Linked DNA regions of Cricetulus griseus. The protein of the gene in region 2 interacts with the protein of the main gene of each other region in a biochemical or structural test. Links are inferred from orthologs where the notes say so. Each region holds a gene or a part of one and is shown on either strand. Other genes may lie near its edges.

Region 1 (4,314 bases), on a different chromosome or scaffold from region 2:
TCTTTTTGGTAAAACCTAGTTTGCATGTACATGTATAGGTCTTCAAAATGTCAGGTTGGAGCTGGGCGTAGTGCAAAGCCTGTATGATTGAGGGGCCTAGGGGACTGAGATAGGAGGACCTTGAGTTCAAGGCCAACAGAGCTACATAATGAGGCCCTGCCTCAAAAAACCCAAGGGCCAGGGTTCAGCTTAGTGTTTGCCTGATGTGTGCCCTGGCCTGCATCCCCAGTGACAGAGAGGGGAAGCCCACTACACAGACATTGTACAACAAAACACCCATGTACTCCATCCATCACCCAGTGGAGGTACTAGTGGACTGAGGCCCCAGAGTGCCTGGAAGCAGAATTCACACCGTGCTGGAGAGAGAAACAAAAGGCTTTGTTTTATCTGTGGGAAACAAACACATAAGTCTACATCCATTAGGGTTTTCTTTTTATCCTCACATCAAATGACTGGATTTTGTTTTTCTGCTGAAGAAACTTGACTTATCCAAAGAAAGAGTCTTTGAAAGTGAAATTTATTATTTATCTTTTTGAAAGCTTTTCAATTTTAAAGTTTTATTTCTGCTGAGTAGTTCTCCATTGTGCAAATGTACCACAATTTCTTTATCCATTCTTCAGTTGAGGGGCATCTAGGCTGCTTCCAGTTTCTGGCTATTACAGATAGTGCTGCTATGAACATCGTTGAACAGATGTCTTTGTTGTATGAATGTGCTTCTTTTGGATATATGCCTAGGAGTGGAATTGCTGGATCTTGTGGTAGACTCATTCCCATTTTCTTGAGGAGTTGCCATACTGATTTCCCAAGTGGCTGTACAAGTTGGCACTCCCACCAGCAGTGGAGAAGTGTTCCACTTTCTCCACATCCTCTCCAGCATAAACTGTCATTAGTGTTTTTGATTTTTAGCCATTCTGACAGGGGTAAGATGGTGTCTCAGAGTTGTTTTGATTTGCATTTCCCTGATGGCTAAGGATATTGAACACTTTCTTATGTGTCTTTCAGACACTTTAGATACCTTTATTGAGAATTGTCTATTTAGTTCTGTACCCCACTTTTTAATGGAGTACTACTCAGCAGAAAAAAAAAACCAATGGAATCTTGAAATTTGTAGGAAAATGAATGGAACTCGAAGAAACCATTCTGAGCGAGGTAACCCAATCACAAAAAGACAAACATGATATGTACTCACTCATATGTGGATTTTAGACATAGAGTAAGGGATTACCAGCCTACAATCCACACTGCCAGAGAAACTAGTAAACAAGGAGGACCCTAAAAGAGACAAACTTTGTCCCCTGAAGAAGGGGAAAGGGTCACCATCCCCTGAGCAAATTGAGAATATGGGAAGAGGGGGGAGGGAGCTACAAGAATGAGAAGGGAAGAAAAGGAAGAATGCAGAGGTCATGAGGGAGCAGAAAGGTTGAGTCAAGTGTAGATTAGAAGAAAGGATATGTGATAGATAGGGTTTTAGTTAGGGGGGTGGTAGAGGAGGAAGGGAGGGAGAAGGGAACTGGGATTGTCATGTAATTCAATCTTGTTTGTAATTCAAATAAAAAAAAGTCAAAAAAAGAATAAAAAAACATAGTTTCTTAGTTTGGAAAATTAATGAAATTTTGACACTAATTAGCTAGCTGTCTGTGTATTTTATAACAAGACTTTCTGATTAGTAAAAGAGAACCAATGTTAACTGTGTGGAACTCTCTCATATCTTAGTTAACTCCACCCAGGGAAAATATGCAATTGGGTCTAGGTTTTCTTTTTTCTTTTTTTTAATAAATGTTACTAATAGCTTAAAAAAGTTTTTATTTTATGTGTATGTGTGTTTGCCTGAAGGTATGTATATGTACTACATGTGTGCCTGATGCCAGTTGTGGCCAAAAGAGTTACCAGATCCCCTGGAACTAGAGTTATAGATGGTTTTGAGCTACCATGGGGCTGGGAACTGAACCCAGGTCCTCTGCAAGCGTACCCAGTGCCCTGAACCACTGAGCCATCTCTCCAGTCTCTAAACTTTTTTTTTTTTTTTTTTAAATCTTGTTGTTTGAGACAGGGTCTCCCTATGTAGTCTTAGCTGTCCTAGAACTCACTCTGTAGACCAGGCTGGCCTGGAAGTCAGAGATCCACCTGACTCTGCCTGCCAAATGCTGGGGTTAAAGGCGTGTGCCACCATCACCCAGAAATTTTTTCTAAACTCTTAAAGATTTTGTCTTTCTTAGATTTATGGATCCTGCCTACATTTGTCTCCTACCTTAGTGCACTAATGCAGAAATGAAAGCATAGTAAAAACTAGCCTAATGGGCTGGGGGTGTAGTTGCCTAGTCTGTCCTGTGTTTGATTCTCTGGTACCACATAAACCTGACGTGGTGGCACATCCCTGTAATTATAGGGAGATGGAGGCAGGACGATGAAAAGTTTAAGTTTATGGTCATCACCATAACAATTTGGTGGTTAGTCTAAAGCTACATGACACCCTGCCCCAGCCTCCCTGCATCCCCCCAAAACTGAAGAAAACTAATGGAAACATTGCTATTAACCTCAAAGAATCAGCCACACACACTCGGTGGTATTCATGTGGTCCAAGGTAATAATTCCCACTTACTCTCCTCTTACTCCCGTTATTCATCCCCATACCCAACTCCCACTTTAGGCAGGAGGTCACTGAGTTCACAGACCCAGTGCATTCTCCTGTTGCAAGCTGATGAAGTTGCTGGATTCCCCACAATGCCTTGTCCCTTCCTGTCCTCCAGTGCCATGCCAGAGAGCACAGATTATAAGCAATTTCACAGTTAAGCAGCCACTCACCATTTTAGTGCCCTCAGTCACTCGGTACAACATGAACTGGTTGCCGCTTTGGTTCCCAGCGTTATACTTCTTCAGAGCCACATCCACAGCCAGGAATACATCCTCGTCATTGCAGTCAATTTCCTGGGAGACTTCTCCCTGTGTTAAACTCGGTAGCAGCCTGGAGCAGAGGAACAGGATAGTAATTAGCTTCATGATTTAAGTTTCCCTCCCAAATGGCGGGGATGGTTTTGCCAAGGACTGGAAGCCAGCTTAGAAACTGCTTTTTAGCAGCTTCTCTGGTCTGTCCTGTCCTGTCTCTCCCTGCCTCGCCACTGGAGACCTATTTGGATTCCTGCTGTCACAAGCTGTTTGTCCTCTTCCCAAAGAACAAATACAACTCTGCACGCTGTCCAAGCAGGTTTCAGGCTGGAACATTGCGACATCGAGGTTGTTGACCTGCTCGTTTGCCTTTGGAAAGAATGTGGGAGTAGGGAGCCCGTTTCCAAAACGTTGCACAACTTTGTACAGTAAATTAGAGCAGAAACCAATAAAAGAGGAGCTAAAACCAACAACCAATCCCGTTATCTTCTTGTGACTTTACTGGACTGGTTGCAAAGGTCTCTGCATGTGTGAACAATGAGGCCAGTGTACAAACACCTCCCATACGGAATTGCTAGTGGGATATTAATGTGTACAGGAGCAGACTGCTGTCAGTTCTGGCGCGTTCCTGAAAAGCACAAGCACAGAAAGGACACTGGCACACCTGAAAACCAGCCTCTCTGCTCAATTCTACTAGCTCAAGGGAAGGGAGAGGCCAGCAGGAGCCCAGCAGGTCAAAGTGCTTGCCTCACGAGCCTCATGCTGACAACTTGAGTTTGATGTCTGGGAGTCAGACAAAAAACTGTGGATGGTGGCACACATTTGTAGTCCTGGCATTCCTACTGTGATCCATGAGGTGGAGACACGAGGATTGCCAGGAAGCTCACAGGCTGGTAGCCTGGAGTATGAGAGCAGGAGAAACAAGGAGACCTGTCTTACCAAGGTGGATGGTGAGGCTCCCACTCCTGAGAGGTCTCTGACCTTTACATGTGGGCTGTGGCTTTGTGCTGCCTTATACATTCTCATCCTCTCTGTATAAACACACACAATAATAATAATGAAGAAAAGAAAGGAAGGACAGAGGGAAGGAAGAAGAAAAAGAGAAAGAAGAAATAAAAGAAACCTCTAGTTTGCAATGGAGCCTGCCTGAGAGGCCCTGAGGTGGGGTGCTGTCACCATGGGTTGAATGGTGACTTTATAGGAGCAGGCAGAAACAGTCCCTTGGCTGGAGATCCTAGATGGATGTCAATCTGGCCTCTACTCCTGAACTTCTATGTGATTGAGACTGAACAGGCATGTGCATGTATGCCAATTGTGTATGTGTATGTTTCCTGTCTGGGTGTGAATGAGTGTGAGTTTATGTCTGCCCATGTGTGTGTTTGTGAGTCAGAGTCTTAACCATCCCATCTCTATTTCTTCACCCAAAGAATG
Region 2 (3,822 bases):
GTGGTGATAACAGTGGTAGTGGTAGAATTTAAGGAAATTTTAAAGCAAGAAGGAAAATGGTTTCATCATGCATATAAATAAATTTCCATAGTCTGTAAAAGATTTACCACAGATGTCAGCAGTGAGACCTGCAGTCACAAATCACAATCAGATCCAAGTAGGTGAAGAAGAGAAATAGACACAGATCATGGGTTTTGTTGTAGTTTTTTGTCCCCCTCTCCCCGCCCCCCTCCAAGAAATCAAAGGTACACCAATTCGTCAAATACTTTTAATCTCTGGCACATACTAGCTGGACTGTTATTACTGCCTTGTTTGTTTATCAGTGCCACTGGTAACTTCAATGTGAAACTGTTGTAGTATGCACCTTGCAGGTTAGGAAGCAAAATAACCTGCTTTTAATGCTGGTACAACAGGGGTCAGATAAACACACTGGGGTGTGCTAACACCCAGCAGGGTTTGATAATTTAGATACCCAATAAAAATTTTAAAACCTGCACTTATCAGGGAAGTCACCAAATAGGGGATACTGACCTTCAAAATGGCTCCCACCGAAGAGCAGTTTGGTCTGTCTAGAAAGAAATTTGGCTGAATGTGTCTATGTGTTTCATTTCAGCATGCCACCAAGACATATACGAAGGACTTGATATGAGAGGATCCAACTTCAACATATCTAAGAGTAACAGTATTGAAGAATGCCAGAAATTGTGCACAAACAATATCCACTGCCAATTTTTCACGTATGCTACAAATGCATTTCACAGCCCTGAGTACCGGTGAGTGAGGCTGAATGGTTTCCCCACGAGAACACTCCAGGATTCAACAGCATCCTTCATGAAAAAAAAAGTCTGTTTTTCCTCCAATGAAAGTGCAAAGGGAGTTCAGTCCTGAGCATTTTCCTTATTTACAGACTTAATTTCAATGGCATGGCACCTTTCCCCAAAAGATACTAAACTTCAAAGGTACCCATAGGCTGTGCATGGAATGAAGGTGTAGTGTCAGACAATGATATCTGCCACCCCATTCATACCCTAAACTGCCCTATGCTGAAGGGAAGAGTATCTACTGATTAATAATGGCCCAACCATGCACTGCTGTGGTTATCATTTCAATAGCAATTGTTACCCACACAATTTTATGCACCTTAAGAAACATAACAACATCTTTTGTTGACATTCAGGAACAACTGCCTGCTGAAGCATAGCTCAAGTGGAACACCCACCAGTATAAAGACAATGGATAACTTGGTATCTGGATTCTCGCTGAAGCCCTGTGCCCTTTCAGAGATTGGTAATTCCACCGTGATTGTGATGTGCTAAATGAGAATGCCCAGAAATATACATGAGCCCACTCTCAGGGATATGATGCATTTGGCCAAAGGGTTTGTGTAGATGCAATTAATTATATGGGAAATACATCTTGGAAATAAGAATTCTCTGGATTACCAGAATGTGCTCTATCCAGTCTCAAGAGTCTGAATGTGATAAAGAGGGAAACAGAGGGGTCCAAGTCAGAGGTAAAAAGACTTGAAAGGGTTACATTGCTGCCTTTAAAGGTGAAAGAATCCTAAAGCAAATGGATGCCATGACCTGTCAAAGGAAAGGGGCATGGAACAGATCTCCCTACATGCTCTTCCAGAGGAACAGAGCCAAGCCAACCTTTGGACTGTCACCCAGTCAGACTTACTTTGGCCTTCTGATCTCTAGTACTAAAAGATAATATGTTTATATTGCATAAATCTCTAGTTTTATTGTACATTCCTACAACAACAGCATTAGGAAAGTACAGTGACACTATAGAGAAAACCGTGTCGTTGGTGTCCATATCTGGTGAGAAAGACATATTACCATGAATCAACAAAGGCCTATCATTCCAGACACAGATGTAGCTTCAGTTGAATTATCCAGACAAGCACCATCATATTTAGCTCATCAAGGTGCCAGTGGTGAGATTTACTGAAACCATACCACTTATAGTAAAGAGTGCCAATACTGAATGTTGGCTCTATGCCACGCACTGTATTGGTTCTGAGCTCTGGGATATGACCTCTCTATGAAAAATGGAGAAGCCAAAACAACCTATCTCTCTTCCTATTTGTATTTTTTTTCTCAACATATTCTCTCTATACTGTCCCATTCAGTTGGCTCAAATTTGTTAATTATTTAGTTTTAATTCCCACTTTTCTAGTTTTTGAAAGCTTTTCTACAGGAGATGGGGCCCTTTACTCAAATGTGTTCTGTTCTGTATATCATGCTTATCTTAGACTGCTTGTCTGCAGCCATACCCAAATGCCAAGCCTCTTCTAGCTCATGATTCTGCAGCCCAGGAAGCTAAAGAAGGCGTAGTAGTCATATCTAGCAAGGGCTGTTGTGAGTCTGGGGTCATTCAGAGATTCACTACCAGTCTCACTCAAGTTTTGGTTTTAGTAAAATAGAGACTTTTTATTAAAAAGACTGGCCAGGATCAAACCAGAGAGAGTTCTCTAGGTAAGGCCCAGCTATTGTTAGACAAAGGATTATAAAGACAAAACCCACAGAATTATAAATAAGGGAAACCAAATTAACTAATATCCTGTCTGGGTGTGGGCAAAGCTCCATTTTGTAACAGATAACCAGCAGGTGCCTCAGCCTTCCAAGCAAGCGTTTCATGCAAAACCAGAGCGTAGCAGTTAGCTTGTTCAATCTTATGACCTTGTAGGACTAGCTGAGACAGTGAAATATTTTGTAACAATCAGCTCTTTTATTTATTTATTTTTTTTTAGAATAGCCCAACCATTCCAGGAAGTGGTCCATCTCAGGCAAGCTGACAGGGTACATTCAGGTAGGAGTAACTTCAGCATGGCTTGTGAAAGTTAAAAACAATTCTGGTTTTACAAGGCTAGCACAGGAAATTTATCCTCTGAATATAACACTCGCCACCACAGGACTTTATACTGCATTACAGCATGGTAGAAAAAGGCAGAAAGAATGAATATGTGTGGAAGACAAGGAACACAAGAGGAAGCCTTGGTTTAGAACAACCTGCCCTTGTGGGAACTGATATAGTTCAGAGAGAGCAGGAACTCACTCATACAAGAAAGGTCCGTTCATGTGGGCTATGCCTTCATGACTTCCCCCAGGCCATATCACCCAGCACTGCCCCATCGGACAACAAGCTACACCAGGAGATTTTTGCTGAGGGCAAACCACCCTCCAGTCTTAACAGCACACTGCTGCAAGTATTTTTATGCTCAGGGAAGACGTGACAATATTCTTTTGTTCTGCCTCAAAGTGCTGTCCACAGCCTCAGAGAGTATCCCGCATGCCCAGTCTCAGACTGCCCTGTACTTGCTTTCTTGAGTGCTATGAGTTCTCACATTTCTTCAGTCTGATTAAGTGTCCTTCACAGAGTGATAAAAATCCTGGATATCTCAGAAAATGCCTGTGATTTTTAAGAGGCAGGGCTCTTCACATCCCTTGCATGCCAACCAAAGCCGCAGGAAGGCTGTCTCCGGACCTAAAGGCCTAAATTAAATTTATTAGTCATTACCACACCCTTTTCTCAATTTTATCCACAATGCCTTTAACTTTAGGAAGGAAAAAACAGCATATGGGTAAAACCATATGCTATGGTCACTTAGCAGACCAACCACTTAGACCTACCACTTAGAGTCACACAAATGTCCTACCTATATCCTCCCTTCTTTGAAACGGCTAGCCTCTTACCTCACACAACTCAAAATGAACTGTATTTAAAGACTAGTTTTCAGCAGTTTCCTGCATGGATTTTGAGAGCTTTGGAGATAACCACACCTCCCCCATTAGTGAGTCAATACTATTTGCAATT

Evidence for each region.
Region 1: the proteins of Klkb1 (region 2) and Kng1 form a complex in vitro, tested with the Homo sapiens proteins (4 studies listed by BioGRID). The link is inferred for Cricetulus griseus from reciprocal best matches to the Homo sapiens genes KLKB1 and KNG1.

The regions. Positions count from the first base shown.
Region 1 is NC_048597.1:65,892,344-65,896,657, forward strand, and holds the start of Kng1 (kininogen-1), read right to left. Parts: upstream 3,086-4,314; 5' UTR 2,998-3,085; coding exon 2,803-2,997; intron 1-2,802. UniProt on the Homo sapiens protein: Kininogens are inhibitors of thiol proteases.
Region 2 is NW_023276807.1:41,200,005-41,203,826, forward strand, and holds part of Klkb1 (plasma kallikrein), read left to right. Parts: intron 1-613; coding exon 614-773; intron 774-1,177; coding exon 1,178-1,287; intron 1,288-3,822. UniProt on the Homo sapiens protein: Participates in the surface-dependent activation of blood coagulation. Activates, in a reciprocal reaction, coagulation factor XII/F12 after binding to negatively charged surfaces.